7 linked regions of the Oryzias latipes genome follow. The protein of the gene in region 5 purifies or fractionates together with the protein of the main gene of each other region. This does not show direct contact. Links are inferred from orthologs where the notes say so. Each region holds a gene or a part of one and is shown on either strand. Other genes may lie near its edges. The genes, in order: parp1, ndfip2, polr2m, angiomotin, wwp2, ptpn14 and polr2d.

What was found.
Region 1: the proteins of wwp2 (region 5) and parp1 purify together in Homo sapiens (affinity purification with western blotting; 3 studies listed by BioGRID, with this or other methods). This does not show direct contact. The link is inferred for Oryzias latipes from reciprocal best matches to the Homo sapiens genes WWP2 and PARP1.
Region 2: the proteins of wwp2 (region 5) and ndfip2 purify together in Homo sapiens (affinity purification with western blotting; 3 studies listed by BioGRID and IntAct, with this or other methods). This does not show direct contact. The link is inferred for Oryzias latipes from reciprocal best matches to the Homo sapiens genes WWP2 and NDFIP2.
Region 3: the proteins of wwp2 (region 5) and polr2m purify together in Homo sapiens (affinity purification with mass spectrometry, with the first as the bait; 3 studies listed by BioGRID). This does not show direct contact. The link is inferred for Oryzias latipes from reciprocal best matches to the Homo sapiens genes WWP2 and POLR2M.
Region 4: the proteins of wwp2 (region 5) and angiomotin purify together in Homo sapiens (affinity purification with mass spectrometry; 3 studies listed by BioGRID and IntAct, counting the BioPlex papers as one, with this or other methods). This does not show direct contact. The link is inferred for Oryzias latipes from reciprocal best matches to the Homo sapiens genes WWP2 and AMOT.
Region 6: the proteins of wwp2 (region 5) and ptpn14 purify together in Homo sapiens (affinity purification with mass spectrometry; 3 studies listed by BioGRID). This does not show direct contact. The link is inferred for Oryzias latipes from reciprocal best matches to the Homo sapiens genes WWP2 and PTPN14.
Region 7: the proteins of wwp2 (region 5) and polr2d purify together in Homo sapiens (affinity purification with mass spectrometry; 3 studies listed by BioGRID and IntAct, with this or other methods). This does not show direct contact. The link is inferred for Oryzias latipes from reciprocal best matches to the Homo sapiens genes WWP2 and POLR2D.

What each region holds. Positions count from the first base shown.
Region 1 is NC_019882.2:7,703,984-7,708,889, forward strand, and holds the start of parp1 (poly [ADP-ribose] polymerase 1), read left to right. Parts: upstream 1-1,620; 5' UTR 1,621-1,730; coding exon 1,731-1,853; intron 1,854-3,346; coding exon 3,347-3,512; intron 3,513-3,674; coding exon 3,675-3,790; intron 3,791-3,860; coding exon 3,861-4,075; intron 4,076-4,906. UniProt on the Homo sapiens protein: Poly-ADP-ribosyltransferase that mediates poly-ADP-ribosylation of proteins and plays a key role in DNA repair.
Region 2 is NC_019860.2:18,751,741-18,754,953, forward strand, and holds part of ndfip2 (NEDD4 family-interacting protein 2), read left to right. Parts: coding exon 1-129; intron 130-1,865; coding exon 1,866-1,953; intron 1,954-2,148; coding exon 2,149-2,273; intron 2,274-2,355; coding exon 2,356-2,422; intron 2,423-2,493; coding exon 2,494-2,597; 3' UTR 2,598-2,599; intron 2,600-2,689; 3' UTR 2,690-3,213. UniProt on the Homo sapiens protein: Activates HECT domain-containing E3 ubiquitin-protein ligases, including ITCH, NEDD4, NEDD4L, SMURF2, WWP1 and WWP2, and consequently modulates the stability of their targets. As a result, may control many cellular processes.
Region 3 is NC_019861.2:21,378,490-21,383,313, reverse strand, and holds polr2m (protein GRINL1A), read left to right. Parts: upstream 1-1,478; 5' UTR 1,479-1,589; intron 1,590-1,674; 5' UTR 1,675-1,721; coding exon 1,722-1,828; intron 1,829-2,560; coding exon 2,561-3,094; intron 3,095-3,209; coding exon 3,210-3,432; intron 3,433-4,063; coding exon 4,064-4,207; 3' UTR 4,208-4,582; downstream 4,583-4,824.
Region 4 is NC_019872.2:12,817,769-12,821,918, forward strand, and holds part of angiomotin, read right to left. Parts: intron 4,077-4,150; coding exon 3,488-4,076; intron 3,293-3,487; coding exon 3,148-3,292; intron 235-3,147; coding exon 142-234; intron 1-141.
Region 5 is NC_019864.2:27,508,569-27,512,718, reverse strand, and holds part of wwp2 (NEDD4-like E3 ubiquitin-protein ligase WWP2), read right to left. Parts: intron 2,862-4,150; coding exon 2,790-2,861; intron 1,917-2,789; coding exon 1,828-1,916; intron 1,044-1,827; exon of another isoform or gene 949-1,043; intron 1-948. UniProt on the Homo sapiens protein: E3 ubiquitin-protein ligase which accepts ubiquitin from an E2 ubiquitin-conjugating enzyme in the form of a thioester and then directly transfers the ubiquitin to targeted substrates.
Region 6 is NC_019882.2:9,194,772-9,198,921, reverse strand, and holds part of ptpn14 (tyrosine-protein phosphatase non-receptor type 14), read right to left. Parts: intron 2,903-4,150; coding exon 2,805-2,902; intron 1,736-2,804; coding exon 1,668-1,735; intron 1,513-1,667; coding exon 1,442-1,512; intron 1,346-1,441; coding exon 1,258-1,345; intron 1,178-1,257; coding exon 1,089-1,177; exon of another isoform or gene 1,013-1,088; coding exon 925-1,012; exon of another isoform or gene 766-924; intron 1-765. UniProt on the Homo sapiens protein: Protein tyrosine phosphatase which may play a role in the regulation of lymphangiogenesis, cell-cell adhesion, cell-matrix adhesion, cell migration, cell growth and also regulates TGF-beta gene expression, thereby modulating epithelial-mesenchymal transition.
Region 7 is NC_019878.2:10,414,171-10,419,104, reverse strand, and holds polr2d (DNA-directed RNA polymerase II subunit RPB4), read left to right. Parts: upstream 1-1,781; 5' UTR 1,782-1,917; coding exon 1,918-1,996; intron 1,997-2,529; coding exon 2,530-2,710; intron 2,711-2,781; coding exon 2,782-2,877; intron 2,878-3,790; coding exon 3,791-3,869; 3' UTR 3,870-4,374; downstream 4,375-4,934. UniProt on the Homo sapiens protein: Core component of RNA polymerase II (Pol II), a DNA-dependent RNA polymerase which synthesizes mRNA precursors and many functional non-coding RNAs using the four ribonucleoside triphosphates as substrates.

The sequences.
Region 1 (4,906 bases), on a different chromosome or scaffold from region 5:
TTGCCGTCCATCAAATAAACACATTTTCTGTCTGTTTTTGATACTTAAAATAATTTAAAAAACGATTTAATACTTATTGCATTCTACTTTTATCACACTAGTCATACAATTTAAGTTTTATTGGTTAAACGTACCCATTACATGGAATGGAAACCTATAATTTTGAAAGTGAAGGATTTACTTTCTTTTCAGACTGCAAGGATCGACTTCTCTTCATTCGATTGTTTTAGACTGAAGCGAGCGCGGGTACTCTGTGAGGTATCCAAATATCGTCTATTGTGAAAAATGGATCGCTTGACATTTTTTTATGAAACATTTCAAGTTTGAATACTTTTTGTTGAACATATTTTAGAGGAGTGTTGTTTATGCGGTTGAGTGGCTCCTGAGGAATGACCAAGAGGACAAATAAATATACATAAATAATAATATTTCGTTTTTGTTTTTTTAAATAAATTTATAAATAAATATATTTCAGTTGATCAAATCTTAAGTTCTTTCTTTAATTCTTCCAATCGACAAAACTGAACAAAAAAATTACCATTGTTCTAAAAAACATCTAAGGATAATAATACGAAAACAATAGCCTAGCTCTTCTTATTAAGGTCAGACTTAAAAACATAAACATACAGAAGAAGTTGCATTATGAAGAAAAACTTGTAACAAAAAGTAGAAGTATACATGCACACAAAAAATGTAATATTTGATTTATTTCCACGATTGACAGTTTATTCCAACAGTTATAGGATAATAATTATGTTGTCCATCTGATTTTTTTCAATGAAAAAAGTGATTTACATACCAAGAGATCTTCACAAAATCATATTTCTTCTTGTACGTCTTACTTTTTTGTCTAATTTACTTTAAACTATTTACTTTCTGAAAATTAGATATATAGATATGGATGGATGGATGGATGGATGGATGGATGGATGGATGGATAGATAGATAGATAGATAGATAGATAGATAGATAGATAGATAGATAGATAGATAGATAGATAGATAGATAGATAGATAGATAGATAGATAGATAGATAGATAGATAGATAGATAGATAGATAGATAGATAGATAGATAGATAGATAGATAGATAGATAGATAGATAGATAGATAGATAGATAGATAGATAGATAGATAGATAGATAGATAGATAGATAGGTAGATAGATAGGTAGATAGATAAAAGAAAACGAAAGAAAAGGTAGAATGGTAGTAAGTAAATGAAAGCAGAAAGAAAAGAAGCTTCCTGCAGAAAAGCCAATTGTCATTTTCTTTTAATGATGTCCAAGGAATATCAGAAGCCGGCTGTTTTCTAAATTTCTAAATAAGAGCTTGTGAGTATGGATAACTTAAACAATAAATATGATTTTCATAACAACAACAAAAAACATAAACTTCCATTCTACAGGCTCTGCATGCAAAGATGTTTTGAAAGATATGCTGAAGGAATGGAAGTATGTAACCCCGTTTCTTAGGTTCGGTTAGCTGTGATTTCTGTAGCTATCTGGATAAATATGCCCGCATCTATCAGATATTTGTGGACATGCGCCCAGGTTCAGCGTCCATTGGCAACTAACGCTTGTATCGGAGGTTTGACAAAAAAGAGTCAGAGTAAGCCCTCTTTACTGGATCTTGCTCGCTGCTCTTCGCGTTGTCCCTGTTGTTGCTCCTCGTGCTCTGGTGGAGAAACTTTGTCGTCTTCGGTTCAGCTTTTTAAGGATAAAGGGAAGCTATGGCCGACTCCCAGAATGACAAGCTGTTCCGAGCAGAGTACGCCAAAAGCGGCCAGGCTTCGTGCAAGAAATGCAAGGAGAAAATCGCGAAGGACTCGCTGAGGATGGCCATCGTGGTGCAGGTAAGCAGCGGCGGTCCAAGGAAACACCCGGGAGCGGAATTATTCCTACAGACTCACTTGTTTACCAAGCAGCTTCAGCAGATGTAAAAAAAAAATAAAAGTGTGTTTTTGAAAATGTGATATATAGGCCTGAGTAGTTCCGGTTTCGTCTGGACTGGTTTGGGCCCTCGTTAGCATTTATGGCTGCTAAATCTTCCGCACAAAGAGCCGCAGAGATGCTCCAAATAAATGCACTTTCCGGCATTCAAGCAGAAATGTGAGGAAAAATCACTGCTGCCTCTCAGTCTGACTCAGTCTTGGTGATTCTATCGCTTGTCTTTCGGGGGAACGTGTACCGCTCACTACTTTCTTTACTTCATTCGCTTTTTCCTTTTATTTATTCATTTAGTATTTTGTCTACCACAGGCTTCCGTTTCAGCAGATGGATTTGAAATACTAAACTTTGCATAATTAATTATTATTCTACAAGCAATTAATGCAAGTAGAATTTATATTTTTGGAAAAATACGTTGACATTCAAGTAAATTAATATGCAGGTAAAAAAATTATTATCTATAATCCAGTAAATTGTATAAAACTAATTTCTAATGCAAATTTAAAAATTAGGATGAAAAATGTAAATATCAATCACAGGTATTTATAAAAAAAAAATAGATCATATCTAGACTGATTGCTTTTATTGTCAAAAATTTTATATCAAAAGCACAGAGTAAAAATTGGCACCAACTAAACTTTAAAAAAAAAAAAATATATATATATATATATATATATATATATATTTAAATCATTTGTATTCAGATTTATATTTGTAAATTTCCCATCCTTCAGACTGATCAATTGATGGTTATTGATATTATTAAATAAACAGTTAAAATGTTTAATTTAAGGCGAGCAATTTAAATCTAAACGTAAGGAATAAAATGTAAAAATAATAATTAAACACATATATAAACAAAACTTTTATTACAGTTTGTATTTGTTTGTGGAATTAGAAAGATGTTCAAGTTTTTATTTGAAGGTATTTTTTATGATTTAAATAAAAACAAAATTGCGCTTTTGTTTTGGCGAGTCACTACAGCTAAAATGTTAAAGATAATTTGAAAAGCCTCTTATTTTTCTTAAACTGTACAGAAAAATTGAGAAAAGTCATTTTTAAAAGGAGCAGGACATGGCGACAATAGTACAATTATTTTTTTCAAAGGGTTAGTTTTTTCCTCCCATTTCACCTTCAAAAAATATTACGGTATTGCTAAATTATTTTACATCCTTTACTCGTCTCATAAAAATGTTTTTTGTCTGTTCTTTGTTCAACTTTTCAACTATCTTGTTCAATTCACCACCAAACTACACTGGAGCTTTCAGATGATCTGATATGAGCAGCAAACCCATCATTTTTTTCCAGAATCATCCAAACCCGGCAGATACAGACAGACTGAAAACTATAACTCTGCAGCTGAATGTGTTCACGCCTATGTTTACTCTGTGTCCCGCAGTCCCCCATGTTCGACGGGAAGGTCCCTCACTGGCATCACTTCTCCTGCTTCTGGCAGCGAGCCTCGGTGCAGTCCACGGCCGATGTCGGCGGGTTTTCGGATCTCCGCTGGGCGGACCAGGAAGCTGTCAAAAAAGCCATAGAAAGTGGTGGAGTGGCCGGAACAGGTCTGTGCTTGTCTGAGCTGTTTGTGCACACGGGAAATGAATTGACGTTTATCAGCGTGGTGAATGTTAGTCATCGGAAAGTCGCTTTTGTTTACTTTTTGTAGGTTGTTGAAAATTCTGACTTAAAGCACAGCGGGGTAAATTGAGGTCTCCATCTTGCAGGAAAGGGAAACTCTGGTGGTGCGGCTAAAGGAGAAAAGACGCTGAACGACTTTGCGGTGGAGTACGCCAAATCAAACCGCAGCACGTGCAAAGGATGTCAGCAGAAAATAGAAAAGGTTTGCTGCAGCTTCGTTTAAACAGTTCATTAACGGAAAGCACGCCTGTGACCTCTGACCTCTCCTCCAGGATCAGATTCGTGTGTCTAAGAAAGTGGTGGATGCAGAGAAGCCTCAGCTGGGCCTGATCGACCGCTGGTACCACACTGCATGTTTTGTGAGCCGCAGAGAGGAGCTGGCTTTCAAACCTGATTACAGCGCTGCTCAGCTGAAGGGATTCAATGTGCTGCGGGCAGAAGACAAGGAGGAGCTGAAGAAGAGGCTTCCTGCTGTAAAAACTGAGGGGTGAGGAGTAACAAAAACTATATATATATATATATATATATATATATATATATATATATATATATATATATATATATATATATATATATATATATATATATATATAAAAGTTTGACTAAGAGCTTTGACTCAGCTCTCACAGACTTGGTTTGGTCTAGAAGTTCTCTCATCTCCTCTGTTGTTTCCACTTAAAATCTCTGCCTCTCCCATCGACCTGCAGCACAGAAAAATGGCCTTAAAGGCGTCCCTGAAAGCCGTCATGGTGTATGCATACAGGAAGGGGTTCACAGCAGAGTTGGCGTGGGACAGGATGATGGTGGTGAGCAGCAGCTCCAGCGGAACGGGGCACTTTGGGCAAAGCAGGAGGAAGCAGTTGATCACATGGAGCGGAATCCAGCAGATTGTGAAGAGAAAAAGAACGAGGAAGAGCGACGTGGCCATCTTCATCTCCTTGCGCATGGTGGCTGCCGTCCTGCCCTGTCGCTCCCATCCTTCACCTTTCTCAGTCGCGATGCGCCTCATCTGCTGCTTCACCGTGAGGAAGATCTGGGCGTAGATGAGGAACATGATGAGCAGAGGTGCGAGCACGCAAGCGAAGAAGTTGAAGTAGACCATGTAGGTCATGTCCACCACCAGGACGAAGAAGCAGTAGCTGGAATCTGGCGGTCTCTTGTGCCAGCCCATCAGGGGGACCAAGCCGATGAGGGAGGCCAGCAGCCACGTGCCGAGGATCACCATCAGGGCGTTCCGAGGCGTCATCAGGACGCCGTAACGCAGCGGCATGAAGATGGCGACATAACGCTCCACAGCCACTGCCAGCAGGCTGAAGAT
Region 2 (3,213 bases), on a different chromosome or scaffold from region 5:
TCGTGTTTTCAAGGCGACTTTCCGGTGCCTCCACCCTACAGCGTTGCTACTTCCCTCCCCACGTATGATGAGGCAGAAAAGGCCAAAGCAGCAGCCATGGCTGCTTCTGCAGTGGAAGTGATGCCCAGGGTGAGAAGACACTCGCGTAAATTCACATCCACATATCTGTTTCATGTTGTTTTCTTGACACATACCGAAACAAGTGTAACAGAAAAATGTCAGAAATGGATTGTGTAGTCCATTTGGTTAGTGGTAAAGTACACATAATTTTATCTTTAAAAAAATGAGTCTGGGTTCTTTTGGGTTAAAAGAGAAACACTTCCTTAATGAATTCCACTTCTCCACCCTGTTCAGCAAATCAGCTGCTTTTACTTTTACCTGTAAAAGCTTTAAGTGGATCCACAGCTAATAAAAACGAATTCTTTATGAAATAGGAGTTATCTTCTCGGCTTATTTTCCAATCCGCGCCTTTCGCTCCTTGAGGGTGCCCCCCCTTTCATGGCGTAAGCCTGGAGCCGGCCTCGGCAGCATGTCTGCGTTTCGCCCATGAAAACAAACCACATCGATTGTAGAGGTAGGGATGCACAAAATATTTGTCAACCAAATATATTGGGCCAAATACTGGAAAAAAGTGGGAGAAAATAAGGCCCATCAGAGGCGTTTGACGCAATGTAAAATTGGTTAATAAATGTGCATTGATGATCTTGCGCCTTATTTAAAATCTTGTCAGTGTGGAGATGTTTTAAAGTGACTGACAGCGACAAATAGAACTGCTGGATCCAGTGAATGTTGAACTAAACGAACAAGAGGGGGTTTATCTGCTAAAACCTTTAACACATCTTGATTAAGTAAGGGTTAATGGCAGACGAAGTCTGCGTTATTACTTTTTAACGCACCCCATAGAAGCCTGAACCATTGCTTCCGCGAAGTGCTTTAAAAAGTGATAATGCACACTTCAAAGGCCATTAACCCGCTTATACCATGGTCACTAACAAAAGAAATATATATTTACCAGTTTTTAGTCCGTAATTCATGTTTCTTTCCCGATTTGGATCGCTTTTCTCACAAAAAGTGGACTATTTGTTGTTACTTGACCATGTAACAAAAAGTCTGCGTCACGCCGCACCATCGTTGCAGTCAAGATTCGGCGATATATATATGATGATGGTCCGGATGGGTTGAATAAAGCATCAGTTCAGAGAGAAAGTTCACCTCTTACTGCTTGTTTTTGTCAAAATAATGAAGCAAATGGTTGTTTAAAAGAAGCGGGCGCAGTGATACAAAACATTTAAGCTAGGTGACCGGAACGTCTTTTTTCACCGTGCGGTTATCAATGTGGTATATCACTTTTTAATGCACACCCAGCAGCCAATCGGAATCAAGTATTCACCCGGACCATGGTATAAAGCCAAATGAACATGAGAATGCTACAGCAGCTAAAAGGAAAGCTCGCAGCACTCAGTCTGTGGCACATGTATCTGAAAAGACAAAAAGTTGGTAAAGGAAAGCGCCATAGATAGATAAAGCACATGGCTTTAGATGACCAAGCGTTTATTTATTCTAGACTATTTATGCAAAATTAAAAAAGAAGGAATGAAACAAACAGAGAAAATCTCAACATCCACATTTTTCAGCCAAACATTTGAATTTTTTTTTTTGGCTTTGTCCATAAATTATACTTGTGGTGCATCCCTACCTAGAAGTGGAAGACATGTCCTCACTGACTTTTCTATAGTTTATATTGTGTCCAAACAGCGTTCGAAATCCTTAAATACATAATTAAGGAATCATCAGTGATTGGATGTTTTTAGTTTTACTTTGTAAATGTTGTTCTCATGTTTTAAATCCGTTTGTGTCCACAAAAGGACGACGACTTTCCTCCCAGGGACGATTTCAGTGATGCGGATCAGCTCCGAGTCGGGAATGATGGGATTTTCATGCTAGCTTTTTTTAGTAAGTCGCTCTTATCATCTATGAAAAAATTAACCATAAAGGTCAGACAATCACAAGATGTTTAAGAAGCAAACCCTTTTTTATGATGACTTGACTATAACAGGGGCTCATTTGAAGCATTAAGATGAAAAGTCTGGTAGAAATGTCAAAATAAGAGCCTTTCGACGAGGGTTTCCTGTGTCTGTGCTCCTGCAGTGGCCTTCCTCTTCAACTGGATTGGCTTCTGTCTGTCCTTCTGTCTGACCAACACCATCGCAGGACGCTACGGTGCCATCTGCGGCTTTGGCCTCTCCCTCATCAAGTGGATTCTCATTGTTCGGGTACAACCAGACACAAAAAGCTTTCAAGAGTCTCCCTATAGGTAGAAAAACCCGATCAGTGTTTTTGTCCTCTTGTTTTCAGTTTTCCGATTACTTCACTGGCTACTTCAACGGTCAGTACTGGCTCTGGTGGATCTTCCTGCTTCTCGGTGAGTTTTTAACATGCTTATCCTTCAGAAAATTCTGATCGGATGGGGTTTGACCTCTTCTCTCTCCGCAGGACTGTTGCTCTTCTTCAGAGGCTTTGTGAACTACTTAAAGGTTCGCAACATGACAGAGAACATGGCCACCTCTCACAGAACGCGCCTGTTCTTTCTTTACTGAAGGTAAGTGTGAAAAAACTCAACGGAGAGATGCTCCTGTTGGACGCCAGCACTAAACCCTCTCAAACGTTTTAAATGCTTCTTTTCCCTCAGGTTTGCACAGCATCAGCATTCCTTCTCAATGTGAACCCCCACCCTCCCCTCGAATGACCTGAGCTACGGACCTGAAAGCCAAGAGGAGGAGGAGGCAGGGCAGGAACCAAGGAGGCAAAAGTTGCGAGTTTTTTTGTTATTTGTTTTCCTTTCAAATCGAAGCTTGATCTTTCTTCGGTGCCGTTCAGACAAATGAATCGATGCAAATTAAGTAAATTTACCCCGGAAGCACAGAGAGGATCCTGCAGGAGCAGCCGAAACCCCGATGAGGAAACTTTCCCATGTTTTCCCATCATCCCTTAAAATGTTCCCTCTTCTCCAGAGATCACAGTTTTCTCCAGCTTCAAAACATCTAAGGTACCAGTTTCCTCTGTAACATTCAGGCTTTCAAAACGGGTCAACGGTTTTTGTACTTGAGGAACCCGAGCATGTGAGGGAGACCCCTGAGATGTGCACTGATGGCTTTACATATCACAGATCCCGATGCCTCAGTTTCAGGTGTTCCACTCCCCTTTTTTGACAGA
Region 3 (4,824 bases), on a different chromosome or scaffold from region 5:
GGGATGTTTTTTTGCCCTGTTTTAAGCATTTTGTTTAAGGAATCTGATGGGATGGTCTGATCTGCAAAAGAAACAAGAAATCTACAGAATATTGAACTATAACAAAGAACTAAGATCTCGTGAGCAAAAAATGTCATATTTAAAAAATAAAAAAGACATGGTATTGTATTGCTATGCATTGTTTTCACTAAGCAAATAAGAAAAGATGAATACAAAGTGCTGTTTATTTCTTGGGATAGAATGATTTATTGATAATATATTTATAGTTTAATTCATTTCTGCCAAACAGGTACAAGAGATTAATTGTCTTTTTTTTTTTGAGGGAAACAGAGCCTTCAGCTTTCAGGCTCATCTTTTGTGGCACCAACTCCCCAGTTCAATTCTGGAGGCAGACACCATCTTTATCTTCAATGCAACTAAAGCCTTCCTCTGATAAAGGAAAAAGTTCTCTTTGACCTGGATGACCTTAACCCTTGTGCTATCATAGGCACTTTGACATTGGGAGTGGGGTCATCTGGACCCCACAAGACAGTGCGCTGAACGTTTTTTCTTAAATGATTTGTAATCTTCACTGGTGTCCAAGGATAACATGAAATCCTCTTCGCCTTTATCTACCTTTGTCCTGGTAGGGATAACACGTCAATGCTAGGGTGGGGTCATTTGGACCCCATAAGATAGCACAAGGGCCTCACTTTATACTTTTCTTATTTCTGCTTTGTTTTTTTTTAAGAATGCATTTAATACATTTACAGTTCCTAACTGGAATGTCTTTGTCATGTGGTTGCAGTGTTTGCCCCTGTGTTGTCTACATGTCTTCCTGTCCTCTAATCCAAACCACTAAGTGTAAACGGTCGCTCTCATTTGTTCCACTTAAATTGTTACATTTTCACTTCACAATTGTCTGTTTGCGTCCTCATAAAGGATTGCGACACATACTCTTTGATGTAATCTGTTGGTCACTTATTGAAAAAAAAAAACTAGAGTTAGCCAATTTGACCCGAATGAAATATTATGGATTAAATTGGATTATAAAACCATTTTAAATAATGTAGTTGGAGAAAAAAATAAATAAATTATTTTGTGGGCACCACTGGTGCTGTGACGTGCTTCATGCAATCAATGACGAGTCATGGTATTTGTCACAGTAATCTGAGTAAAAGATAACTTCAATAAAATGGTTAAGTAAGACATATGGTTACTATTTCCTCTAAAACACTTAAAATGATATGTGATTGAATCTTTTGTCATTTTCCCACAAAACTGGAGATTGTAATTACTTGATTCATTGTTTCTTGCTCTCCTAGATTTTTCACCTTGCGATAATATCGGTTGGAAATTTAGTTTTTTTGTACAACTGAAATTGAATTTACTGTATTGGGAAATTCTCCTCATGATCGTTTTTGGTAGTCGTGACCACCTTTGGCCAGCAGAGGGCAGCAAATTACATGTGTTATTCCAACGGCCAACGAGCTGCAGTACAGTGATCTGTACAGTAGAGGGAGAAAGAGCGTCACAGCAGACGTTGAATTTCCGCAGAAGAAGAAGAAGGTCCCACTTTGAAATGTTGTCATGAGTGGAACTCAAAGAAGGTTTCACGTAGAGCGGATTGTTTTATTAGTAAATTGTTTCTAGTGTTTTTGTCGTATAGTTTTAAAGTCAAATTTTAATCTACAGTTCGTTGTGTGGGAATGGCTGCAGTTGGAAGCGGGTAGCCATCAGTAATGTCGTGGACCGATCAGCGTCAGGGGAAGGTTGGAGACCTGAGGAACCAGAGCAGAGAAGAACTGCAGGAGCTGCTGCTGCGACAGGAAAAAATCCTCTCCAATAAGTGAGTCTGGCCTTTTATTAGACGACAAAAGAGACATTTTCCTGTAGTTTTTTTTTATTTGTTTAATGACCATAGTATATTAGCAGTTAAAAATAGTTACAACACATTCGGTTCCATCATGTTAACGTTATACCAACTGTTAAGAAATTAAAAGTAAAACCTGCACATTTTAAAATGCCCACTTTGGGCTTTAACCGAATGTTTTATATTCCAGATGCTACATGTTCGTTTATATTGTTTATTCTTAGTCATCTTTTAACTTTTAATAACAAAAAGTTACTCCCAAAGACAAATGTTTTGCTCGAAAAATGTCCCTTTTCAACAGTGAATGTAATCATAGCAAGAGGATTATGTTAGAGTCCCCCTCTGATCATCTGGATCCAGTCTCCTACAAGTGGATGCATCATGGCGTGGAGGAGGAGGGGGCTTGTGGCCTGCCGACTGTAGCTTCTACATCACAACAAGATTTTTTTCATGTATATGTCCTCTATCCTGAGAAAAATGCCACAAGAACACGTTAAAAACCGAATTTTCATTGCAGTGGGCCTCGAGGTTGCATCAAAATAGCTAGGAATGTATCATAAACCATATCAACTGATGCTTATTGTGTTGTGTATAAATCACAGATTAAGTTGTTGTTTGTTTTAGAAAAAGAGGCAGAGATGTGATAAATGCCATGTGACATAACTGCTCGATGAGTTCTTTACAAGATGATTGTTTGTTGTTTTTTAGGAGGTTATTACAGACTCTTCCAGACAAAGGGAAAAAAATTCAAGATTTTGCAGACAACGTGCGTCTCGCCATTGAACAGCGCATCGAAGAGGAGAGGAGGCGAGATTTACTGTCTGCTACAAGGAGCGATTTACAATCCAAGTACCAGCAAGCTTTCAGTTCGCAACAACGTGGAGTCACCTCATCAGCACCTTCATACCAAAATGAGGAAGGAGAGGACTCACGAGGAACGGAAAGCACACCTGATTTAGCACCAACGAAGAAAGATGCCACTTTAGAAAAACAAATGGACACATCTGCTGCCGAACCCTCTGTTAAATCTGAAGAGATAAAAGAAAGTGAGCTAGTGGAAGCCCTGGACAGGGTCCAGGTATCCGAGTCCAATACTGGAAAGTCCAAAGAAGCCTTTAACAGCAAAGCAACAACCAATTACTTTCTCCAAAAGCAAACACCAAAGAAGCCTCACTATATTGCTGTCCTGAATAGAGGAGAGTCCTCTTTACATGCCATCAGGCAAAAATTCAAACCAAATCAGTAAGTTACTTTATTTCTTTCAAAACTTTGATATATTATTTGCATTTATGTCTGTTTTATTAGGGATAAACATCTGGATTCCTTGAAAATCAAAATGTTTTAACCCTCTTTTCAGGCTGCTCAACAGAAGTGACGTTTCAACGTCAGGATCCTCGTCACCAGGTGAGCCCTCTGGAGATGCATCGCCGCTGTCCGCTCAGGCCAGGAGGGAGCAGGACAAGAAACACCTGGATGATGTCACTGCGGCCAAACTCCCTCCTCTTCATCACAATCCTGCCCAACTCCTGACCCTTGAAGAGTCCGCTGCCTTACTTGTAGAACACACCAGAAAGCAGCAGGTTAGTGTGACTGAAACCTCTCACACACATCAATATGACTCGCCATTTAAAATGGCTGTGAAGTGTTGAGAGGGCTTCATCACTGATGTCTATCATTTTGGGCTTGTTGTGGACCACTCAGAAGATTTTCTAACAATGCACAGTTGCTACTGTGGAGGTTTTCATATATGTGCAGGACTGATGGTAATATAGGTGTCATTATTTGCCCACAGGGGCATTTTCATAAATTCTTTTTTATTATTTTGTTAAAATGGTCTCAAAACAAAATGTTATTATCTGCCATTGCACAAAAGCACACATTGACAAATGTTATGCAGGTTTGAATAAAAAACTGAAAATAAAAGTGAATAAATTGGTTCAAAGTAAAATAAAAATCTTAGTGAAATGTGTTTTTAATGAATCACTGACTACATCATTTGATGTTTGTTTCATTTTGGTTTTTCATAGTTGTCATTTTCCCTTAAGAACTCCAGAGGGCAGTATTCAGACACTGACTTTACATGCAGACCAATACCTGTAAATGCAAGAGTCAAATCATCTTATTATTATTAGTCATATTTCAGTGTTTATTGCTCTCTTTATGCACTTTTTCCTATTGTTTTTTTTCTTCAAATCTTGTGTATGATTGTAGGAGTTGCAGGCCAAGCTGGCAGCCCAGAAACTGTCTGAGGGACTAAAAATGTCGGTGGGGGGCTACAACCCTGACGGCGGCTCCATGGGCGCCTACAGAGAGGTGCACGATGAAGAAGCACAGCTTTCCTCAGAGGAGGACTGATCCTGGAGGACCAGCTGAGGAAACCGTTGGCCCTTTGGCTCAAAGATGCTTTGGACCTCACTATGTGGAGCTCTCATGCATCTTAGCATGAAGGAGATGTGGATAGACTGAGCTTAGCAAACTAAATGTTAAGTTAGGATGATGGATCTGTTTAGCTCAGGTCTTCTCAAGTTCTGTCAAGATAACAGCTTCAGCTGATCCAGAGTCTGTGAGGTTAAATCCTAAATTGGTTTTCTAAGTTGAAGTTTTCTTTTAAAATTAAAAAAATGCACTTCAAGTTGATCAGCAGGTGGAACTGACTTTTTTGGGACATTGTGACTGTTTACAGCTGTACCAGCAGACGTAAGCTGAATAAAAACATCTGACTTTGTGAAAGTTAGAGTTTATATGACAACATTACTGACTGACAACTACATCAAGCAACACTCACCAAACAGCATTTTACAAACCCTTTTTCATTTGTAAACATGAACTCTATAGCACATGTTTGGCTGATTGCAGTAACATTTTGGAGTAAACGGGGTTCATACTTTAAACCTGAAGCACTGCTGCATAAATCACCTTCAGGTTGCAATCGTGTGTCTTAATCCTGCCAATCTTTTTTCGTTACGGAAACT
Region 4 (4,150 bases), on a different chromosome or scaffold from region 5:
AGCTAAAGCCAAATGGCTCCGCTGCCAACTCAAACACTGACTGTGGAATATGTGGCCACTGATTGGAGAAGAAAAGGGTGTTTAGTGTTGAGGTAGGCATGCTTGCTGGAGTATGTGTGTGTGTGTGTGTGTGTCACTCACTCTGTGTGAGCAGCTGTGAGATGGTCTTGCGGTTGTCCTCTGAGCCCTCGCAGTCTTTCGTGGCGAGCTGCTTGTTTGCCGTCTCCATGCGCTCTTTAAAACATCAAAACCGGAAGTAAATGATCTGGACTCACACAGACATTTCTAGTTGTGAAAAGACAACTATTGTTATTTTATAGTAAGTTTGTGCATCAAAAGAAACATATTTATTCTTATACTCAAAGTATTGTATGGGGGGGGGGGGGGGGGGTCAAACTAGGACTATCACCAGCAATTTCCAGAATCGGTTTGATTCAATGTAAAATGTGATGAAATAATAAACCAATGCGATTGTTAACAGCATCCAGAGTTAAATTAATTCTTAAAGGGAGAAGCTCCAGCAAAAATGAGCAGATTATTATGTTTCGTTTGGCCACTAGGTGGAGCTCGCGCTACAGCCTAACGCTTTATTCCAGAAGATTTGAGGGGAAAAAACTGTGCAGATTGTTACTTTGTGAAAAAAAAAAAAATCTTTTTCTTTAAAAGAGTTTGGAAAATTCATGCCTGTGAGTATATAAATCTGTTCATTTAGTCAGCAATGTGTGTTTAGGTCGAACGAGCGTTAGCATCAGCAGTCTTATGTGAAATTCCATTATACGTTAGCATCAGGCTAGCAGACTTTTTAACTGCTGTTATGCGTTAGGTCACCGGAAAAGGAGGGGCGTAAAAGATCGATCTATACTTTTATGGATCGATTATTGACTTATAAAGCTTGGATCGATTCAGATTAATAGATTGATTTTATCAACCCAGCTCTCGGTAAAACTTTGAAGGTCAGGTCAGGATTCACAAGTTTTCTCGGTCATTTTCATCAAATCTTCTTGATGTTGATCTTAAAAAAATTCTTCTTAGCTTGTTTTTTTTTCTTAGCTTGTTTTTTTTCTTTCAAGGTGGTCAAAAGGATCAGAATTTCTTTCTTTTTAAAATTATCAGGAAATAAAGCTTCACAAAGTTCTCCATATCTTTCATCTTCAAGCACGGCTCCAATAAAAAGATAAACTGTGTTGTTGTTTTTCTCGTAAATTTATGACTTTTTTTTCCTAAATGTATTAATGTTTTCTCTTCTAAATTTATAAAAACAAATTCTCATATATTAATGACTTTTTCAACCTAAATTTAAGACATTTTTTCTCCTAAATGTATTACTTTTTCCTCCTAAATTTATGGCTGTTCTCTCATAAATTTGTGTTTTAAAGTCATAAATTATTACTTTAAAAATGAAAATGAATGAAAATTTATAAGAAATAAAAGTCATAAATGATTTTTATAAAAATACAACTTTATTCTACTTATTTGACTTTTTTTCATAAATTTAGGACTTTAATGTCGTAATTGTAAATGTATTTTTGTGTTTGTCAACTAGTCCTAAAACTTATGGTATTGTTGTACTGTTAGTATGATTATGGGGCTAAATTTAATCAAAATCAAAATACTTGTTTGCATAAAAATTTCAAAGGTGTAACTAAAGATTCTTTTTTTCTTTTTTTTTAAGGTCCTTGTTTTTGTGTTTTGCTCTACCATTCTTTTAATCATGTTATATAAATGACATTAGTTGTAATAGTTTTCATTTTCTCGAATTCTAACCTTTATGTTTTAGAGTTTCAAAGACAGTATTGCCATTCTAGTTTAATATGCGTCTGATTGTATGTAAAAACAGAGTTTCTATAACAATATTGGTGTTTATGCGCACTTAATTATGCATATTTGGCGTTTTGCGGGTTATTATTTTGAGTTTTATATAAATGTGTATAAACAGCAGATGTCTTTATGAGGTGCATTTATTTATTGTGTACTGTGGGGCAAAAACGTGTTGGGCAGTTAAAGATGCTGTGAGTTGTCCCACGCAAGAAGATGATACACTTCCACTGTGAGAGAAAGAATTTATAAATAATAATCCAGGAAATCACATTGCACGATGCACAGTAGGAGCCTCTATTCTTGCCCTTTGTCCTCTGGACACAGATCTCAGATGTTGTTCCTGGAATCTGCTAGAGCCGCTCTCCCAGTTTGTGTCTGAAAGCTCCGAGTGCTCTAATCCCCACAGGGACCTCTTCTCTTTCAAGGTCTTCTTTCAATCTTTAGTGCTTCTCTGAGGGATCAGTTGTTTTGATGTCATTCTAGAGGTTGGGTTTTCCTGATTCTTACTTCATGTCTATGACTGTCTAGTAAGTCATTTCTGCAGTCTGCATCTCTAGAAACCCATTTCCCACCAGCATGTTTTGGATCCAGCATGAGAAGCTCTGAGTCCTAGCATGCAGACATCTGCCGACCATCTTAGCCTCCTCTCTCTGTGATGCCTCGGTGGAATAAGACAAGCTAAAGCTTCAAAAAGTCTTTCAGAAGAAAGAAAAAGTGTTTTGTAAGCTATAAGTGAGCCTCTAGCATCTTCCTTCTTGCATCTGTCTGCAGGTATGTGTTGACCTGTAAAATCCTTCCAAATGTCTGATCACTGATGTGGGCTCGTTGAAGAAACATAAATGGTACGCTCATTAATCAAGAAGTTACGAAAAATAAAATACACAAGAAAGATCTTTGTTCAATAGATCTATTGAAATTTTGGGAGAGCACAAATGGGAGATTTGGATGTAATCCCTGCAAAGGTCAGTTCTAACTGAACAGACAGGAGGCAGGAAGGACAACAGGAAGCAAAGCAGCATTCCTAAATTCCTATGATGAAGAGAGATTTGCTCTTTGTGTGCGTCTGTGCTGCATAAATAGATGCTAATTGTGTTATGAGCACATTGATCTAATCTCATTTTGGGTTGGGCCTCCCTTTTCCCTTCAATCACACAAATTCAGACTAAAAAAACATCTTGTTGATAATTAATCTTGAACTTATTGTACAGATTTGCCCTTTATAAGCGCATTTGCTAAACCCACTGGTGGCTGTTTGCACCAGAACCTCAGTGTGGTGCATTTCCACGCTGTGATTCACCCTGCCAGCTCCGGGCCCCGCCCTGCACTCACCCCTCAGGTCTCTGTTGAAGTCGTGCAGGCGCCGCACCTCCAGCTCCAACTTGTTCCTCATGGTTTTCTCCAGAGCTTCCCTCTTGGATGAGGATTTAGCGAGGTTCTCGTAGGCCTCCGACACCAACTGGATCTCCGTTTCCAGCTGCAGACAGGAGACGATGCCGCATTTGATTTTCTCCCACGTTTCTACTTTTTACTCTGAAAACGTTGTGCCATCGCGTTACTTGATGGACGATAGGGCGGAATTCTGCAGTGCAGGTAAAGATTTGAATATCCACACAAATAAATATGAGGCTGAAGAAATGTGGATGTGCTTTAGGCCTTCACCAGGTGTTACCTTTTGCAGCTTCGTGACTTTCTCCCGACAGGCCTCCATCTCTTGCCTCAGCATCCGGTTCTCCTCCGTCAGCACATCCACCATCTGTTGAGTACGAGCGAGCATGGCGTAGGGCTCGCCTGGCAGCTGGCCGTAGGAGTGTGGCATAGGAAAATTCCCCGGTTGAACCATCATAGCCGGTTGAGGATGACCTTGAAACTGTTGCTGCTGCTGGTGCTGCTGCTGCTGGTGCTGCTGCTGACATGGGTGATGAAGCTGCTGATGATGGTGCAACCTCGGGGTGGAGCCATAGGGATCGGCGGGGAAAGCGTGACCTCTGTGCATGGGTGGGTGACCTGGACCTTGGATGCCTGGCTCGGCTCCTTGGTGGGAGCCTGTGCCATGTGGACTACGAGGTCCAGACATGTGGTGAGGCTCCCCAAGAGACTGCTGGTGGGGGAAGGACGGATGCGAGGAGTGGGAGGCAGACAGCATGCTGCTGAGGGTGGAGGACTGGGCGCGTGACAAGGAGCCAACAGAGGTGACGGAGGAGGTGGGACTGTGGTGGTGAAGCGACCTCTGGTAGTGAACCGAACCCTCCTTACTGGATCTGAGGAGACATCAAGCTATTAAATGACAAATTGATTGAAACTAACTGTTTATTTCTATGTTACCTCAAATTGG
Region 5 (4,150 bases):
AGAAAGTCCGAGATTCAGCAAAAAAACGAAACCTGTAAAACATGGAAGGATAAAAATAAAAAAGGAACTTTACACATTAGTGGAAAATAAAACAAAAATAAACGAAAGTGTTACAACTTTTCCAAATTCCTAAGAAAGAATTTCCCACTCTCATAAAGATTGTGTTTTTAACATGTTCTTGAGCCATTTTTCTCATGATGGAGAGCACATATAGAAAAACTTAAGACTTAAAACTGCATTTCTGAGTAATTCTTTATTCAAACCATAGTGAAAAAAAGAAAAAAAGGCATTGGAAAAAACTTGGGTGACATAGAAGCTACTACGGCAAGCCACAAGCTCCCTGCTCCGCTCCATCTTGATGCATCCACCAGACAAATAGATCTGTGAACGAGTTTGTTTTTCGTATTCAAGCTGACGTCTGGCTCAAAACCAAAGACTAGCTCCGATATTGCTCGCCATTTTTGTTGCACCGGTAATATTCGGTTGGGGTTGTGAGGACTGTAAGCTAACGAGAGAGCGTGCAAACAGATGGATGATGGGAAGGGAGGAAAGCTTACTCTGCACCAACAGTTCCACCTACAATTCAATTTCATATAAACTACTATTGCTCTGCAGAAACTATGTTCTAGTAAACTACACCTTTTATTTTTTTGTGGCTAAAAACGGCATTTAAAAAAAAATAATGCTGTGAACGCTTTAAAAATACATCAAGAGATGATCAGAATCAGATCAAATGTGTTAAAGTTTGTCTTGAAGCAATTCCAACGAACGACAGAGCAGAAGAATCTGAAGAGCAGATTAGACAAACTGTGGAGGAATGAATGTTAGACAGAATGAAGGCCCCTCCACCAGCAGCAGCAGCAGCGCTCCTTAAGCCCCGCCCACACCCGCGGGGGGCGTGCGGAGCGCTGGGTGTTATGGACTGACGGACGGGCTGACGGACGCAGACACCTCCCAACATCCCGTCCGTGGTTCTACCCTGTGGTAGAACAGCATGATGTCACCTACCATAGGGTAAAACCACTGACGTGACACCGGAGACAGAGACACAATGCAAAAAAACAAAAAAAAAACAAAACACCCAAAAGGGAGAACGATGAGAACACCACAAACAGAAAAAAAAATATATGCAGAGAGGAAGACCTGAAGGACAGCAGGAGGCGTGACAGGAACAGATGATGGTGGGAGGACAAGGGAGCTCCAGGAGGAGGAGGTTCTGCAACAAGCTAAAACATCCCTGTGTGGCTACAGGATGAATCTTTACACAGAAGACGCTTTTCTGCCTTCAACTCTGGCGTTTAAACACAGGGGAAGCTAACGGATGATTGCCACAAGAACCTGTAGGATCATGGATCTCCAAAAGTTAGCAAACTTTAATCAGAGCTCAGACAAATAGCAGGAGGATTACAGGGTTTAGTGTCGAACCTGATAAACCCGGTGATGCTGCATCCTGTCGCTACGGCAACAAATTGAGAAAACGCTGCCACCATCGGGTCATTAAAACAACTCCTAGTGCATGTTGGGACAACAGACTGAAATTTTAAAGCTAAAAATAGTTTAAGTCACGAGTTGATAATGAAACAAAGCATAACATAAACTTTGCGTTCATTCTCCATCACTAAACCTAAATATGTAATCTATAGGAGGAGGAGGAGGAAGCGGCAGAAGCTAAACATACACCAACACCACCCTCACCAACATCAAACATGGAGGCTTGTGTAAAGAATACCCACAGGTGGATGAGATGCAGGAAAACCAGAGAAGGCACATAAGACGACAGAATGCGAATGAAGGCTAAGGCGGAGGTGCGTTTGGATTTCTCCTCACCTGGCGATGCCGCCATAGTCAAGCCCCTCCTCCCCTCTCATGATGATGTAGAGTCGACGACGAAGATCGTACGGCTTCACATTCATGATCTGATGAAGAGAAGTGTAAAAAAAAAAAAAAAAAAGGTTACTAGTAAATTACTAGTAATTTTTTCTGTTAGAAGTAACAATTGTTTTTCAAGACAAAACATATTGAATGATCTTGAGTCATTTGATTTTAAAATACATCAAATTTTTAAGTGTATTATATTATTTTATGCATTTTAACTGTAATTTGTGTTTTTTTTCCTCTTGTAGAGCACTTTGTGACTGCTGTCTGTGGTACTTACCAAATATCTATATCATTAGAAATTTGCCTGAGTTGTGGATGGGACTGTTAGCATAGAGTGCCCCGCCCCCCCTTCCTATCACCCTTATCCGATAGTTCTCTGTTCACTCTCTATCCTGCTAGCTTACAGCCCCTCACATCCGTAATCCAACATGACCGGCACAACAAAAATGACAATATATGTCCTCCACATAATGAGAAAAATGCCAAAGTTTTAAAGTAAACATACATTTATGTATATGAATTTATGTCCAATTCTCATCTTACTTTTAGAAAAAAAAGGTTTAGAAATAAGGACTGTTGTAGCACGAGGAATAGCACAGGATTTTTTTTTGGGGGGGGGGGGGTACTTTATTTTAAATCATGTTTTGAAATATTTCCAGTTACAAGAGCAATCAATATACCTGACAATGAGTGTCTAACCCATCTTCAAAGGCCAGAACATCCTAACTTATTTGAAGATGAAATCTTAACACAAATTCACTATTTCCATTGGCACTTTTAAGCGAAAAACATCTCATACTCTGCTTTTTTCTTCAGTGTATGATTTTGAAAGCGGACAAGAGAAAGGAAAATGAAACTTGACGTCACTTGTTTAGTCTATGTTCAAATCCTAGAGTAGTTTTCAGTCTGACCTGCTGAAATGAATCCTCAAACAGCGTCTGTCTGGACACGGAGATCTTCACGTGGCTTGGCAAGGCGTTGGACTGCAGGGCAACAAGAACCACGAGAGGGTAAGAGTTAAACATATAAACACACACACACATATCTATATATCCATATATCTATATATATATATAGATATATATAAGTATATTTATATCGAGTTGCTGCTACAGTTTGACAGGTGTGCGTAAGAAAGTGACCAGTGAGTCCACTCACTGAGGCATGTAGCCAAGGTCAAGACGGTCTGCTATAGTTCAAACAGAGCATCAGAACCAGGAAGAAAGGTGGTTGAAGTGACTTTGAACGTTGCATGGTTGTTGGTGCCAGACGGGCTGGTCTGAGGATTTCAGAAACTGCTGATCTTCTGGGATTTTCACCCACAACCATCTCTGGGGTTTACAGAGAATAGCCCCAAAATGAGATCAGAGGAGAATGGCCAGACTAGTTCCAGCTGATAGAAAGATAACAGGAACTCAAAGAACCACTGGTTACAACCAACAAAGCCTGGTGCCACCGCCACAGTCTACCAGAGTACTGTTGCTGACCATGTCTATCCCTTTCTGACCACAGTGTACCATCTTGTACCAGCGCGGTGTCATAAAGCTGGAATCATCTTAGACATGATGATGCGTTCACTGGACTCAAATGGCCTCCACATTCACCAGATCTCAACCCAACAGAACACCTTTGGGACGTAATGGAACAGGAGATCGGCATCATGGGATGTGCAGCCGACAAATCTGCTGCAACTGCGTGATGCTGTCATGTCAATATGGACCCACCTCTCTGAGGAATGTGTCCAGTACTTTGTTGAATCAATGCCACCAAGGATTAAGGCAGTTCTGAAGGTAAAGCGGGTCCAGCACGGTACTAGCAAGGTGTTCCTAATAAAGTGGCAGTCCGTTTGTGCCTTCTATTTCTTTAGTAAGATATTTTCACTACATATTCATTTCAAAATAAAATAAATGGAGTCTGTTGATTTTTATTCTCCTCTCACATTGACAGTCTAACAGGTTTTAATAATTTTTTAAAGGATAATAAGTGTTCAATTTATAATTTATCCAAGAATAAATTAGGACGTGATCCTTTTGCCTCAAATAACAAAAAAAAAAGTAGTATTTTTCTGCTTGGAGGAGGCAAAACAATCAGTGAGAGCAGATCCAGACAACAGCAGCTGACTCCTAAAATAATATGAGGTATATAAAAAAATTAAAAATAAAAGGACTTGGAAAAGAGTTTCTGTGCTGTACCCAAGAGCCAGAAGAAATGTGACCTAAATTCAGGCCTCTCCTCTGCTGAAACCGCAGCACCAAAGCAGCTACCATCAGCG
Region 6 (4,150 bases), on a different chromosome or scaffold from region 5:
TCCTTAAATAACCTGCGCCAGATGAAATCTGCAAAGTAGAATTATGGATGTTTTAAAGCAGTAAAAACCTCTCACTACACACTTTTCTCAGACAGACATGAACAACTTTTCTCTCGTGCTTAAACTCTCAAACTTCAAACTGCATAGAAAAATGAGTCCAGTTTTATAGAATGAAAACAAAGATCTAACTGCGATGAAGATTTCGTTAATCTGTCAAGCATGTGCAGCACCTGTGTGAAGAAGACGCTGCCCATGTCATCTCCTGATCTTGTCAATCATAAATATTAATTAGAAAAAAATGGAAAAACTCTGCATAACATAATCTGTCAAACATTCTTACCCCATTGGCAGACTTTCTTTGAATAAGCACAAAAAAAGAATCTGCTATTGCTATTGAAAAACTTTCTTGATAAGATTATTTTTCTTACAAGACAGAAAAACAGGAATGTTTTCTTGAAACAAGGATCTGTTTTACCTTCTTAAGATTCCGTTTTTGCATACTGTGCAGAATATTCTGTGTGTCGATTATTCGCCCAATATGTCTATGGCTGTTATATAATCTAAAATGTATAAACAGTTATTTTATGTTGGTTTTCTGTTAACATTACATTACGAACCAATATGCAACTTGTTGGAAAATGTGATATTCACAATCTGGCAATATAAGAAACTTTTGACTACATTTTATAGGTTTTATCTAATGTCTGTCTCATCGTGTCGTACTAAAGCTTTATTTTCTTTCTTTTTCTTTTTTTTTATTGCCAGGATAGCCAGATTGTCCGCAGTAAATGGAGATGGTCTCCTGGTTGTATCACGAGCATCTTTTTCCTTCCCAAAACAGCGCAGAAATAAACAGAGTAGAACCGCCTGCTGAAAGAGTTTGTGTGTGAACGAGCTGAGGCCGCCTGCAGACACAACACCCACCATGTGAAACGCGATGGTGTCGTCTCTGCTCGTTATCTCCACTGTGATGGCTGACTTGTTGTGTGCTATGGTACCGATGTCCTTCCACCTGTCACACACACAGGAATTAAACATTCCCACCCGGCTGCATCATGAATCGACTGCAAAAATAAAGGGAAACCTACTTGTGGAGCATGATGGACCTGCCATTTCTGTGTTTGACAAACACTCCAATAAAAGACACTCCAATAAAAATGTCGTTGGTGTAGTTGTCCTGTAAAAAGAAGAGGAAATGCTTAAGAATAAAGGTTTTTCTTTAAATGTAAAAGATTTGTGAGGATAAAACGAATCTACCTTAGCAGGAAAGCTTTCCTGTCCAAAACCATCCAGTTTCTCTACCTCCTTGATGTACAGCAGCTCTGCTTTAGCGGTTTGCATTCCACTACAAGGTAGAAAAGCGCAAGCAATCACTCTTTCATCTCCTGCTCAACTTGCAAAGGTTTTTTTTGTGCAGAGTACACATTCAAGCTGGGAGTACCAGTGACTTTTGTGCTCTTCTGCAACTTTTTGCGTCCAATCCTCCAGCACTTCATCTCCGTTAGGCCAGTTCTGGAAGGAAAAAGAAGCGGAGATAAAGGCCACATGTCCACACGCTCTTTCTGCAGGTATGCACCAGGGGAATGCGTACCTTCAGGCCGCATATTAACACCCAACCAATCACATGCAGATTGAATTTCCGAGATTTTAGAGATTTCAGGACTCACCACTGGGAAAAGCACGTACTCCCTGAGGAAGTCCTGAGATGGGAAGTGATTGAAGTCTCCAAAATCGGCTAAAAGAATCATCAAAATGAATCATTTTAAACGTGTACATGTAATAAATCAAATTCAGATGAGTGACTAATGGCTAAAATCATGAAAGGAGCAGACATGAAACTGTAAAATGTCTTTTAAATAAACAGAACTTCTGAGATGCGACCCAGTCAGATGCTGTCAGTCTAAAGCTGCAGATGCCAAAGACTGAGCCAAGAAATACCTACAAAACAGGTCATCGTCCGACTCCTGGGAGTAAAGCCACTGCTAGAAGGTGAGCGCTTAGTAGATTAAAGGATGAAAACCAGCCGACAAAAAAACACCTTAAAAAAGCTGACAGTGGCTTTAACTTTGAATAAAGAACAACCAAGTAAGTAGGAAAGTGTATTTCTGTGCCAATTTATTCTGCAGGGTTTTAAATTTGAAGAAAAAAACGGTAAACTTTAAAAAGAGCCTTAGCTTCACCACACAATGTTTTAGTTTGCCACTGGGGTCATCTATAACCAAAACTTCCAGCATTAAATGACACGTTTTAGGTCTCCATTAGAGGTGAAACTATCAAATCTAGTGTTCAGTTGCATTTCAGCCAATAATGCTTTCTTGGGTTTAATCTTCCTGACTAACTTGTCAAGATTTGGCCCGAGAATAAATTAAGAACTTATCGTACACATCAACAAAGCCCCCGTGTGCACGTCATATCTATAACATGCTCATTCTCCAGATAGAGCTTGTATCAACCACTAAGTGCTGTTTGTCGGACAAAAGGAGGCAAAGAGGAGGATCCTTGCCTCCCAACAGATAACCGTCTTCCTGATGCTGCGGAGGCTAACCTTGGAGCTGCTGATAAGCTCACTGTCTGTTTACATTCCCCATGGGACGCAGACAGCGCTCGAGGATGGAGAGTGTGTGTGCATGTGTTAGGACTGATACCATAGGAACTCGAGTGGACTGGTTCTCCCTGTGGTATGCAGCCATATAAGGCAGCAGTGTCAAGATGACCCGAGAAAGCGCCGGTTTGTGCGCACGCTTCCCTCGGCTGCTGCATTTCTCTCTGCTAGATTAAACACATGTGATTGATATGAATCTTACCTTGAACGGCTAGTCCAGCTAGTCTGATGCCCTGTTCCATGTTGCAATGGAGGCGTCCATCCAAGACATCCTTCTTCACTTGCAGGTAATACTGATACCTACGTACAAGGCGAGAAAGAGGACACATTTTCTTGCAGGTTCGAGCCAAAAATTGGAGGTAAAAAGGAACCAGTGGGGGAAATTATCAATTAATCAATTAGAGGGTCATAAAATCATGAAAAAAATTATAAATAAAATATTTTGGTACATAAGAAGCTACACAAAGTTATACTGTATAATTCCCTATGCACAGCAGGAATGTTGGCAACCAAAAACTAGCCAATGGGTTATAGAACTTCATAATATTTAATGTATTGATGACAAAAACCAACAGAATTCTAAATTTTGAACCTCTTGTACAACAAGAGGTTTAAATATTCAAACTGTACGTCAGCGTTTTCTTTGTACGTCTGGATATTGCTCACCCTTTTTTGTTGCACCACTAATGTTAGGTTGGGGTTATGAGGGGCTGTAAGCTTGTGGGAGGGCGTATAAACAAAGGGATGATGGGAAATGAAGGATGGCTCACCCTGCATCCTGCCTACAACTCAGAGGTGAATTTCTGATGAACCACTGCAGAAAGTATGTCCTAGACAATAACAGTTTTTTTGATTTTGGGTAAAAACAGCATAATCATAATTAAAACACCACTTGAAAGGCTTTTAGAATAGATTTAAAGATGATTGGAGTGGGTCTTTATGAGAAACCATGATGATTAGCAACTGATGAACTGCAAGCAGATGACCCACTCACTCTTCACTGCTCTTAGTCAGCAGCCACCCTGAGCCAAGGGAGAGAATGTTGTTGCAGAAATGAGGAATGAGTGAGTCACTTTTACTTAAAATACCAAAAGACATATTTCTCTAAAGTTTACCAGTTGGAGCTAAACAAAATGGTCGCAAAGGTCTGTGATCATTCAGGAGCCTGACACATTAGGCACTGGATATCATCTCTGGTAGGATTTACACAACACAGAAGCATAACAGTTACAGTACAAATGTAGGGCGAACTGGGAGTCTTTTCTCTGCGGTTTTGGGCAGCCGTGGTTGGAAGTGTAAGCTGATACAGTGACAGTGTTGAGGCTATTTGCAGCCTTCAGAAAAATGTGGTAAAAGTCCCGAAACCAAACCAAAATGCAGCGGGCTGCTTCGGTTTCTGGGCTTCTTTTGTTCCCCTTTCTAATTGGATGTTTGTAGAATGAGAACGGCCACACAGGAAGAAAGGCAGAACTGTCAGGGTGACCAGGCTCAGCTGCATGAAAACGCCATTTCCTGTTTGCCGCCATGGCAACCACAGACCGAGGCTTT
Region 7 (4,934 bases), on a different chromosome or scaffold from region 5:
CCGAAACATCCTTTGAGTTATTCACTGAGGATGCAATTAAATTGCAACTTTTCAAGGTCTTTCAATGTTCTTTCAATATTTGTTGCTGAGGAACAATGACGTTATTAAAACTTATTGAAGTTTTGTACAAATAATTTAGCATTTTACAAACGAGCTTTGTTAGAGTAATAACATAAAGAATGAAACACAAGTGAATTAAATGCAACATTTTTCCAAAGGGCCCACTGAAGAACAACTGTGTCTGGAATTTACAAAGACATATCTTCCATGCCCCCATAGTCCTGAGCAGGACTACGGGGGCATGGAGTCCATTCCAGTTACTTCAGGGCATAAACAACATAACTCTAAGCACTTTACTAGACCATCAGAAGTCTATTCAAACTTCTTAAGGGACAATTTTAGAGTAGAGTACCTAATTTACCAATAAAACATGCTTTGAACCCCTTCAGGAACCTGAAGGTCTTGGAAAAAACAATGGACACACAAAATGTAAAAACCTCACACACATTCCAACCCTACCGTTCTGAAATTTGAATCACCACGCCACCTGGTGGAGTTGCAGGAGATTACAAAAGGTGAGAAAATAATAGTTGCTACAGATTCATTCTCAAGTTTACAGAGTTTCAGAAGTGTTTGCTACCAGTGTAGCTGTGAAAAAAAACGTGTGGCAACTTCAGGTGGAGTATAAAGACTAAAGTAAGACTAAATAAATAAATAAATAAAGTAAGACTAAATAAAGTCTGCATATGACCTTATGACCTGCAAGGAGCAGGTAGAGAAGCATCTAGAGAGGAATAAAGACCAGTCACAGCAAGATAATGTACCTACATGGAAATACAAGAAGCAATTGAAACTGTTGAAAACTAATAATGCGGATAAAGAACATTTTTAGTTATAAAATAAAGGTTTGTATTTTAAAGGTCACATGGTTAAAAAAAATACAAATTTTATATGATATAAATAACACTGACAAACATATCAGTAAGAAATTCAAAAGAGAGGGGAAAAGATGAATAAAGTTAAAATGAATATCAGGGACCAAAAATCTCAGCAGGTCTATGCTATGGCGAGCTCACATGGTCTTTTATTATTGAACACTACAAATGTTAAGTTAGGAACCTGTAAACATAAATGTAAAACAGTTAGAACATTTAGAACAAAAAATGAGATAGATCATCAAATAAAGACACAAGAAAGCAAAACAAAGACAGAGTCAACTAAAAAACACCTAAATATGAAGAGTTTTGATATAATTTAATGCCTTTAAAAAAGTTGAAACATTTTCTTGCTTTTTTACTTTTCATGAATTAAACAAATCTACTTAAGAAACACATTAAACAGTGGTTTGGTTTTTAATAATTTACTTTTATGAATATAAAATTTGCTTTTGATTGTTAAAATATTTTAAACTAAATTTAACAGACTGTTATGTGAAATTACACCAAAAAGAATGTTGTTCTTTTTTAATGAGACTTGAACAGAGGAATTTGAACACCACAAATGAAACTCATCCCCAAAAAGATTCAAAGTACATGCAATCAACAAGCAATTTCAACACAAAAATACAATTGTTTTCTTTAAATCTTTAACTTTAACATTTATTTACAAGGAAATAAATTATTTATTACAAGGGCATATATGACTGAACAGTTCTATCGTTGTGTTTGAGGGGAGTTCCTACACTTCATCTTCCAGGACAGTAGGTAGCAGAAGCGCACCATTATTGCTAGATGACACCCGCCTAAACCAGAAGAAAGCAGAGGAAGAATATCACCGGAAGTAGATCGGTGTTGTGACCGGAAGTTCCCCGAGCGCCGTTGTTCTCTGCACAGTTAACGTTCTCACCGTAGTCTCCGAGAGAAGCTGACGGAGCTCATCGGTACTGCGCGCCTCTGCGACCCGTGACTGTGACTCGACATGACTGCCGCTGGAAGCTCGGTTTCCTCGCACGTGGGAGACGTCGAAGAAGACGCGTCACAGTTGCTGTTTCCCAAAGGTGGCGCGCACAAATACTGTTTACTTCCGAAACTTTTTGTTAGGTTACAGTGTAACCTGTATTGGAAACAATTACGTTGCTATATGTGACCGATGAGGATAATCATCCCCTGATTATTAATTTATGTAAGCTGCATCACCGATTTGAATCTGAATATTTTCATTATACGACCATCATCATCTGTACTGGTTAAATGTTTCTCTCACTGACACACATGTATTGTGATCATCATGATGTTTGGTCCACTGATCAAGATAGAATTATTTGTTTGTTTGCTGAGAGTAAACTATAAGTTTAAATTTACATGGATTGCTGTCCTGGAAGGTCTGAGACTCAACAAGCTTCCTAAAATAGTACAGGCTGACTTTGATCAGCAGGATTTTTGTCCTACTTCTTGAAACAGGCCTTAAATTCCAGTCCACAATCACTGCAGGAATCCTTCTGTCTTTCAATCAAAATGGTTCTGGAGCTGATATTCTGTAGAATCTGAGCTCAAATTCAGTGACTAACCAGCCCCCTCCTGCTGTCTGCAGAGTTTGAGAACTCTGAGACGCTGCTGAACTCGGAGGTCCACATGCTGCTGGAGCACAGGAAGCAGCAGAACGAGAGCGCCGAGGACGAACAGGAGTTGTCCGAGGTCTTCATGAAGACTCTCAACTACACGGCCCGCTTCAGCCGCTTCAAGAACCGCGAGACCATCACTGCCGTGCGCAGGTAAGGATGCCCCTTCTGGTCCCAGGTCCTGGCCCTGATCTGGGTCCTAATGGCCTTTCTGTCTGTCTCAGTCTCCTCCTGCAGAAGAAGCTCCATAAATTTGAGCTGGCCAGTTTGGCGAATCTGTGTCCTGAAGCTGCAGAGGAGGCTAAAGCTCTGACCCCCAGGTGAGTCTGGACTGAACCGGACTTGTTCTTTTCACCCATAAATTACAGGGTCTTCGTTAACCAATCTGTGAAAAGATTCACCTGACATCAGATTATTCTGAACACCTTAGTGATTTTAGGATTTTTGGGAGGCTTGACTTTTTATTTTATTTTAACACTTTCAGTAAATTGAGTAAAAGTATAAGTTAGTCTGGATGCCAAGGAGATTTATTTAGTAATGTCGAAGTAACACTATTTTACATTAAGGGCAGACGTGTGCAGCTTTAATTGAATTAATTCAAAGAGAAAACCTGAGAGATTATCCTAAACTGGATCAGAAAACATTTTGGATCAATTCATCACAGACATGTAGTTTTATGCTGTTCTTACTTGTCAGGAATTGGTTTCTTGTTGAAATTATTATGCATTAAAAAATAGCAGATAAGTTATTTTAGATTGTTTAGTGATCATTATTTTTGTGAAAATATACAGTGGTGGACAAAATTGTTGGTACCCATCAGTTATAGAAACAAATTCCAGAATTCTCACTAAAATGACTTGAAATGTTCAAAAGTAACAATAAATTAAAATTTAATGAAAATGAAATAATCAAAATCAGCTTTTTAATTTGTTGATTGACAGAATTATTTAAAAAAAAAAAAAAGCTAATGAAATAGGGTTGGCCAAAAATGATGGTACCTCCATAACAGACTGAGAACTAATTGCCCAGGGGGTCATGATGAACTCAGGTATGTCCTTAAATTGACATCATAGCTGTCTTCAAACTCATAATCAGTCAGTCTGTCAACAATTTTGTCCACCACTGTATCTTACTGAGATATGGATCGTTTTGCAGGTGATGTTGTTACAATTCTTATCAAATAATTCATCGTTGAGAGAATAAAGTTCTGCCGGGTTCTGCTTCTTTTCTCAGTCTGGAGGGTCGCTTTGAGGATGAAGAGCTGCAACAGATCCTGGATGACATTCAGACCAAGAGGAGCTTCCAGTACTAAGACCAGGACCAGCAGCTGGACCTGAGACCTCCAGAACTCTCCTTAACAGAGGCAGCGTGGTTCACGTTCCACCGGGACCAGAAAAATCACAGAACATTTAATCCACCCACCACCCAGCAGAATCTTGATGTACTTTAAAGGCACACAAGATGCTGTTTGTGTGTCTGATTCTATCCGGTCTGTGGAAAATCCAGCACATGTTGATAAGAAAACTGTATCTGTGCTCTGCTCCTTCGGGTACCTATGGGCAGAAACTCAAATCCATCATCAGTGAGCTTATCCCGAACACCGCCCACTCGTACTGCCAGCTCAGACCTGCAAGACCACCTTCGAGTCAGAGTCCACGCAAAATTGATTCCCAACAGAACCTTCTTGTCCCAGGAGAACCCCTTTTAGTGCTTTTGTGTGGTTGTCTGTCCAAACCGCTTATTAGGAGCGGAACAGGGAACTGGATTTATTGTGTTGATTGAAAATAAAAATTTAAAAAAACTACACCAAGGAACAACCAAGCAAAGTTTGTAAAGCTCTTTTAACAAAAAGAATCACAAAGTGAGAAGGAGAGCCGGTGGACCATAGGGACAGAGGCAGGGAGGGATCTCATCAAATCTTCCAATCTTTATTACAGCTAAAGGGTAGGTAGGTGGTGAAACAGGAAAAGATGCAGCAAATGAATCACAGGTGCTGTCATTCCCTTCTCCACCAAGGATTCCTAGATGGATTGCTGTCCATTAAAAAAAAAAAGTTATATACACAATATAAATTAAAAAATGTAAAGACGTGATATAGCATCAGTATTAGCATTGGCCCCAGGGACACAGCAGGGAGAGAATTGGGGGGTACATTTTAAACTGTTCTTCTGAACACTCACTACGGTCCATGACTCATCTAAGTGGGGTTCGAACCAACATTTTCAGAGGAATAAGACTTGAATGCCATCAGTAACTGAAGCTTTACCATTGGAACAATAAAGTTAAATTTGAAATAAAAAAACGGCCAGCATTGGGTAAGACTAACTACAACATTGTTTCCTCTTGTTTGAAGAAGTAATTTCAAAAATGCGTTTTT